Canis lupus familiaris: one gene and its partner. The main gene of each other region encodes a partner of the protein of the gene in region 2 in a complex. Links are inferred from orthologs where the notes say so. Each region holds a gene or a part of one and is shown on either strand. Other genes may lie near its edges.

Region 1 (4,370 bases), on a different chromosome or scaffold from region 2:
CTCTTTCTATTTCAGGATCCCACACTATTTAGTTATCATGCCTCCTTACTTTCCATTGATCAGTGACAGTTTCTCAAATTAAGGTCATTTTTCATGACCTTGACCCTTCGGAAGAATTCTGGTTAGTGATGGTGTAGAATGTTCTCCAATTTGAGTTTCTCTGGTGTTTTCTCATGATTAGACTGTGGGTACTCATTACTAGAAAGGGTACCATACAGGTGAGGTGCCCTCTTAATGCATCATATTGGAGGTACATGATGTTATACATTACTGGTGATGTTGACTTTGATCATCAGCTAATACTTTAGACATTACTTGTCTGCCAGGATTCTCCATTGCAAGCTTACTATTTTTCCTTAAATATTTGAGGAAGATACTTTGTCATTAACATTTTGATGAGCATAATTCACCAGTATATATGTTAACTGCATTTGGTTAAAGGGTTTGTAAAGACACAAATACCAGTGAATTATTTGAAACTTTGTGTTATAAAGTAGCAATTAAAAAAAAAACAAGGGATCCCTGGGTGGCGCAGCGGTTTGGCGCCTGCCTTTGGCCCAGGGCGCAATCCTGGAGACCCGGGATCGAATCCCACGTCGGGCTCCTGGTGCATGGAGCCTGCTTCTCCCTCTGCCTGTGTCTCTGCCTCTCTCTCTGTGTGTGTGACTATCATAAATAAATGAAAATTAAAAAAAAAAAGAAAAATTTAAAAAAAATAAAAATAAAAAAAAATAAAAAAAAAACAAAGTTTCGGATAACAGATGTCAGCCAATAAATTATACAAGATTAAAGTAAGACAAGGAGAAGGCTGTGAATATTCCAAACTCTTATCATCACAAAAATAAAACAAGCCAAGCAGAACAAACATTTCTGCTAAGAAGTGACAATGCAAACATCAGTCTGGGATGCTCTGCCGTGGAAATCCCCTTCTTACGCTGATATAAGAAATAAAAACAGAATAAAGAGTATCAAAGATGGATTAAGGAGTGGTCAACTTTAGGTGAGACATTGAGATATGGAGGATTTGAGTCATTAAAAAAATATAAATATATACCGACTGCAGTTTCAAGAGCATTTGGGAATCATTCAGTCCGACCCAGCATAAATAAACCATATATTCATGTGCTGCCTCCTTTGTCACTACTCAGCCATAACTACGTGTAAAAGACACAGGATGGAGAGCACATTCTCACAGTGCCTTTCAGGGACTAGCTTTGACTGTCACTAGGAACAGCAGCTCTCCCTCTTGCTGCTGCCAAAAAGAGTCAAGCCTATCTATTGAGGGAATACACTAGAGAACCAATACATTACAATCTCTATGCCACTGTACTGTCTTACACTACTCATCACCTTTCTGTCTTGTCCAATGCTTTAGTCCGAAGGCCCAACTTAATTCCTACCATCAGTACCTGTTCCAGGATCCATCATAACCTTAGACTTGTAGTCTAGGAGTTCTGCTGCAATAGTAAGGGACACAAAAAGTAATGGAGGTATGTTTTTTGGCCCTGAATTGAAACACTGATCACATTTCTTCAATTAAAAAGAAAAGTGCATATACACGCCCACCCACCTACACACACACACAAATTGGGGTTAGGATCACTACTATTTGATTCAGAAGTTAAACACGTTTTATGGGCAAGTCTGAGAATATTGTTCCCACAGAGAACATTAATCTACTTTGAATAAACATGTCTAAAAGTTTTTATTGTCGGGATCCCTGGGTGGTTCAGCCGTTTAGCGCCTGCCTTTGGCCCAGGGCATGATCCTGAAGTCCCAGGATTAAGTCCCACATCCGGCTCCCTGCATGGAGCCTGCTTCTACCTCTGCCTCTCTCTGTGTGTCTCTCATGAATAAATAAGTAAAATCTTTTAAAAAAAAAAAAAAGTTTTTATTCTCTGTAATTGAATCATTGTCAAATATTACTTACATTCTTTAGAAAAAAGTCTCTTCCTTTTACCCTGTCCGCCTTCTGCACCTCCTCCAATTTCTTCATTTTCTTCCTCAAACTACAAATTAAAACGTATATGTGAAATGTCAAGTGCTGCATTTGATTATTAAATAATTAACGTTTAATTTTTTTTTCATTTCTAACACTGATATTGTGCCAGAAAGCCTAAAGCAAGCAGCAAAAAATCATGAAATCTCAGCGTTTTAAGAACCTTAATGACTATCCAGTCCAACTTTCCACTTACGCAGGAATGGCTTCTACGATGTCCCTAACAAATAATCCTACTGCCTCTCCTGGAAGTTATGATGACCATACGTTTTTTTTTTTTTAAACCAACTAGTTAGTCTATTACTACAGTTTTTACTATTAAGAATTGGTACTGAATCAAAGTAAGCAAACTAGTATTTACTAAGCATCGCTTACACAGGACTAGGAACTTCCCTCCAATAAGCCTGAACCCCATTTTTTGACATGTAAACAAAGGCTCAAAGTTAAGAAACTGGCTCAGAGATAAAAGAGGTTTTGAAATCCAGGTTCCCTGATTTTCGGTCCATTATTTTCCCACAACTCTACAGTAAGCACATAGTTTTGTTATCAGCTGCAGTATCGGTTCATAAAGCGCGCTAACAAACAATTAGCATTGTCCTCGGATGGCTTTCCAGGCGATTCGGAGTGTCCAGCAAACAGACACCAAAAGCAAAAGCAAGCAGAAGCAAGCAAGCAGCCACCGTCCTACTCTTCACGTCCTGCCCCACGTACTAAGAGATGAACCCGAAGGGAAAGGCTAGCTGGGCGTGAAGTCTCCGAACTCTCTCCAGTGTACTGGCTAAGGTGAATCTGAACTCAGGCTCCGCTCCTGTCCCCCAGGGAATGAAGAAACGGGTGGGTGGGAACGGCGGCGGTCACTCACAGCAGGGTCTTCCTCCTCGTCGGCCATGCCGCCGGCCAGCCTAGAAGCCGCAGCCTCGCTTGCAGCCGCTTCACTAGTTCCTCTGCCTCACTTCCGGTGACGCGCCGGGAGGGGCGGGGAGGGGCGGGGCCTAGCCGGGAGGGGCGGGGGCGGGGCCGAGCCGGGAGGGCGGGGAGGGGGCGGGGCCGAGCCGGGCGGGGCGGGGCCTAGTCGGCCAACCCGCGAGGAGGTCGCGCGGAGACTTAACGGCAGGTGCAAGCGGACAGGGGGATGAGCCGCAGGTTCTGTGATCAAGATCACGGATTGATTACGTATTAGGAAAGAAAAGGAAATCGTAGACTGGGCAGTGTGTATGTTGTGGCCCTGAATTGGCTTCTACGTATGGAATCACCGCTCCCTGATTCGGGGCTGTGAAGCTACGTATCACTGGGGTGCCAGTGGTCCTTGGGATGCCCGAAGAGTGTGTTTACACAATTTTAACAACCTATAGTTACACTATTATTATTTTTTTAAGATTTAATTTATTTATTCATGAGAGAGAGAGACAGAGACAGAGGCACAGGCAGAGGGAGAAGCAGGCTCTCTGCGGGGAGCCCGACATGGGACTCGATCCCCGGTCTCCAGGATCAGGCCCTGGACCAAAGGTGGCGCTAAACCGCTGAGCCACCGGGGCTGCCCTAGTTACACTCTTTTTTTTAAATTTATGATAGTCTCACACACACACAGAGAGAGAGAGAGGCAGAGGGAGAAGCAGGCTCCATGCGCCGGGAGCCCGACGTGGGATTCGATCCCGGGTCTCCAGGATCGCGCCCTGGGCCAAAGGCAGGCGCCAAACCGCTGCGCCACCCAGGGATCCCTAGTTACACTATTATTAATTGCCAAGCACTACACTGATTATTGGGTATGTTTTCCTTCGCCGCTAGTTTTTAAGAGGAAAACATCACCCCCTTAAACTGAGGATTAAATATTTGTGGGGAATTTTGTGATCAGAACAATGAAGAAAACCACTGGCGTTAGAAAGCTAAAGCTAGGGATATCAAATGTTCTGCAATGCAAGGCATGATGCCACACAAGGAGAAGTTGTCCCACAATATTTCTGAATGCCCTGCTAAACATTCATGTGAATGAAAAACCTATAATTATCTGAGCCTAGAACCTAACTTTGTTTAGATACTAAACATGTCTTATGTTTTTTTAAAGATTTTATTTATTTATTCATGAGAGATAGAGAGAGAGAGAAGCAGAGACACAGGCAGAGGGAGAAGCAGGCTCCATGCAGGGAGCCCGAGGTGGGACTCGATCCCGGAACTCCAGGATCATGCCCTGGGCCAAAGGCAGGCGCTAACCGCTGAGCCACCCAGGGATCCCCTGTCTTAAGCTTTTAACTCACATTTTCTAGGAATGAAACTGTGGGATAACAAAATATATATATATATATATTGGTCTCTGCTTCCAGTTCCTGGCACAAAGCTTCTAAAACCCTTGCAATTCCTAAGTGATAAGAGCATA
Region 2 (3,271 bases):
ATGAAGGTGAGAGAACAACTGTATGCACTTATGTTGAAGGAATGGTAGTGGTGGTGACAACAACTATAGCAGGGCTGGGCTCTTCCCATATTTGTTCAAATATACAGTAATCCTTTCCTGAGGACTAGAGGCCTCTCCTCACAGGATATTAGAAGTTCTGAGACCCATTTTGTTTTTTTCCTGTATCTGCAGGTGGCACTGGAAGGCCTTCGGCCTACTATCCCACCAGGCATTTCCCCCCATGTGTGTAAGCTCATGAAGATCTGCATGAATGAAGACCCTGCTAAGCGGCCCAAGTTTGACATGATTGTGCCTATCCTGGAGAAGATGCAGGACAAGTAGAGCTGGAAAGCCCTTGCCTAAACTCCAGAGGTGTCAGGACACGGTTAGGGGAGTGTGTCTCCCCAAAGCAGCAGGCCTCTGGTTGCCTCCCCTGCCTCCAGTCATGGTACTACCCCAGCCATGGGGCCCATCCCCTGCCCCCATCCCTACCACTGCAGCCCCCAAAGGGGCTAGGCTCAGAGCTTTGTCACTTGCCACACGGTATCTCCCAGCATGGGAGGGACCAGCCCTGCCTGTCACAATAAAGTTTATTATGAAAACAGGCTGGTGTGGGGACAGGGGGACAGACAAGTACATTTAGGTTGGGTGGCTCAGGTGAAGTAGTGCGGCTTCTTCACATTGATGCCATATTCGCTGAGGGCAGGGGTCAAGTCCTCCATGGTTAGAGTGTACTTGCGGTCCTGAGGGAAGAGGGAAGAGCACCAGCTGAGCAGGGGAATTCCGGATTTCAATCCCAGGTGGGTGACCCTGAGTAGGTCTTTCACCTCCCCTAGGGCTTAGTTTCCCCAAAGGGGTTTCAGGACAAATTAAGCCTCCGATGCTGTGGGAGATAATTACTGATTCAATGAGCCTCCCCTCACACCTTGCTCTTGCTTCGGGAGCTGCCAGAAGCTGTGCCCTTCATTTTGCAGTGCTGTAGGGCATCGTTGGCAATATCTGAGATGAATTTCTGGGCAGCTAGGGAGATGAGCCGAATTCTAGAGAGAAAAAACTGGGGTGAGAAGGAGAGGAGACCAGAAACTCCACACAAGCACCCAAGGCTGTAACCTACCCAAGCTGTACTCACATGCGTGGGTCCGAGGCCTCAAAGCCAGCACGGTTCAGGTAGTAACCAGTCACTGCATCTGGGATCTGAGAGATCAACGAGAGGACTGTCAGTGTGTGCCCTGTGCACTGCTGGGCTGAGAGGATGAGGGAAATGGAGGACAGGCCCGGCTTTCAGGAAGCCCACGGTTTGGGTGGGCAGAGGGGATAAATCAAAGAGCTAGTAGGGGAGCAAGTACGAAAGAAAGCTGGAAATCCAGGTGGTGTAGCGGAAGCTTGGCCTGACAGCGCCCCAATAGCCTGTTCAGGCAGGAAGCCCACCGTAGGCGTATAGTCCTCCAGCTGCATCAGGAAGTCCACCAGAGGCGTGCTGGACACCACCGGCTTCACGTCTCCGTTGGCGGCGCTCGGCAGCACGTAAACCCCGTTAGACATGGCCCCCTCCGGGGGCGCCGCGCCGCCCGCCGACACGGGAGCTGGAGGAGAAGCAGCAAATAGACATGGAGGTGGAAGATGCGCAGCCCCGCTTAGGTCGGCCTCAAACCCCCCGCCCTCACCCGCCGCCGGGCCCAGCCCCCGGCGCTGCCCTCGCCCTCACCCGGCCCGGCCCTCACCCGCCCCGCGCCGCTCGGCCGGCTCCCCGGCCCGCGCCGCCACGGGTCCCGTGCCCCCTGCCGCAGCTCCAGCCCCGGGTCCCCCCGCTGTCCCCGCGGGGCTGGCCTTGTTCTCCGCAGCGGTGCCGGCGGGCAGCGCTGCGGGGGCCGAGACCGTGGGCGCCGGGCCCGGGGCCGAGGCGGCGGAACCCGGCGCCGCCTCGGGGTCCGCGCCGGAGCCGCTGCAGCTCATCGGGCCGGTGGGAGAGGCGGCGAACAGAGCCGCTTCCGCTTCCGCTCACGTTACGCACACGCCGGGTGACGTCACACGCCCCGCGCTTCGCCCCGCCCACGCCATGTTTGTCGTCTGTGTCGGGTCTCCCGCCTCCTGGATGTCGGCTAGCCAGTGAGATGCCGCCGCCGCCGCCGGGCTGCCTCCCCCCGCCCTCCCCCCACGCCCCCCGCCCTCCCCCCGCCCCCACCCCCCCCCACCCCCCCCACCCCCCGGGCGAAGTCCTAGGCCCTGCCGCGGGGCTGGGAACCGTCGACGTCTAGGACGCTCTTCTGCGGGTCCGGGGCCCCTCCTGCCCCTCCTGCAACCTGGCACTTAAAGACCTTGCTTAGGGACCCCCCCCCCTCGGCCACGGGTTGCCTGCCAGTCTGTATCCTTTCCAGTTCCCTTACTCAGCCTTTTAAGGGTTGTAAGTCTCCCCCCCCCCCCGCCCCCCGCGACTGCCCTGGGAATGGAGGACAGTAGGAATGTGCAGTGTTGCCATAGTTGGGGAAGGAGGTATTTCAGCCTGAATAAACAACATACGCAGCATCACAGCGAGTGTGTGGGGGGGGGGTGTTCAACGCAACACACATTTATTTAATTCCTATTTGCCCATCCTGAGCGAGGGCCTGGGAGTACAAAGTTAAGCAGGACGAGACTCTCGTCCTCTCGGCGCTGACAGTCGGGGAGGCAAACAGGTTAGCTGGCATTTTCAGTCCTACATTGGAGTTACAATACTAGAGGTAGACACAGTATGCAGTGCAAAGGAGGAAGGGGACTAACATCTGCCGCCTACTTCTTTGTGTCAGGCACTCATCAACTTTATTCCACTTAATTATTCCCTGATTACTGTGCGACGCAGGTATTGATATGCCCCCTTAACAGAGGAGGGAAAAGACTCGGGGAGATGTACCTGTCCAAGGCTCTGTCCTAGTCTACGTCAGAACCAAGTATCAAATAGGTCTGTTTTTAAAAACCCAGAATTTTTCTGCTACACAAAAATGAGCTACCTTCAGGGAGTCAAAAGGTTCACAGGAGGATATGACTTCTGAGTTTTTAAAGAGAACTGGAAATGAACCAGGTAAAGGGAGTCGAGGGACATGTTAAGGGCATAGACTACCTTGAGGAAAAGTGAAAGTGTGTGCAGAGCCGGGAGGGGGAACAAGAGAAGATAAACAATTTGGTACTCAGGAACAAATGGCAAGGGAAGAATCAGGTTTGTGAGTCATAGCAAAAAGCCAGAATTGCATCAGTAACCTTTGAAGGGTCTTAAGTAAATGACCTGATGGGATTTGCA

Evidence for each region.
Region 1: TAF10 (region 2) and TAF13 share a complex: the UniProt entries of both Homo sapiens proteins name them as parts of the TFIID basal transcription factor complex. The link is inferred for Canis lupus familiaris from reciprocal best matches to the Homo sapiens genes TAF10 and TAF13.

What each region holds. Positions count from the first base shown.
Region 1 is NC_049227.1:43,170,101-43,174,470, reverse strand, and holds the start of TAF13 (transcription initiation factor TFIID subunit 13), read right to left. Parts: upstream 2,945-4,370; 5' UTR 2,889-2,944; coding exon 2,862-2,888; intron 2,010-2,861; coding exon 1,931-2,009; intron 1-1,930. UniProt on the Homo sapiens protein: The TFIID basal transcription factor complex plays a major role in the initiation of RNA polymerase II (Pol II)-dependent transcription.
Region 2 is NC_049242.1:30,425,290-30,428,560, forward strand, and holds TAF10 (transcription initiation factor TFIID subunit 10), read right to left. Parts: upstream 1,977-3,271; 5' UTR 1,954-1,976; coding exon 1,722-1,953; intron 1,584-1,721; coding exon 1,429-1,583; intron 1,195-1,428; coding exon 1,130-1,194; intron 1,041-1,129; coding exon 926-1,040; intron 744-925; coding exon 654-743; 3' UTR 549-653; downstream 1-548. Other genes in the region: ILK (integrin-linked protein kinase), read left to right, coding at 1-6, 193-342. UniProt on the Homo sapiens protein: The TFIID basal transcription factor complex plays a major role in the initiation of RNA polymerase II (Pol II)-dependent transcription.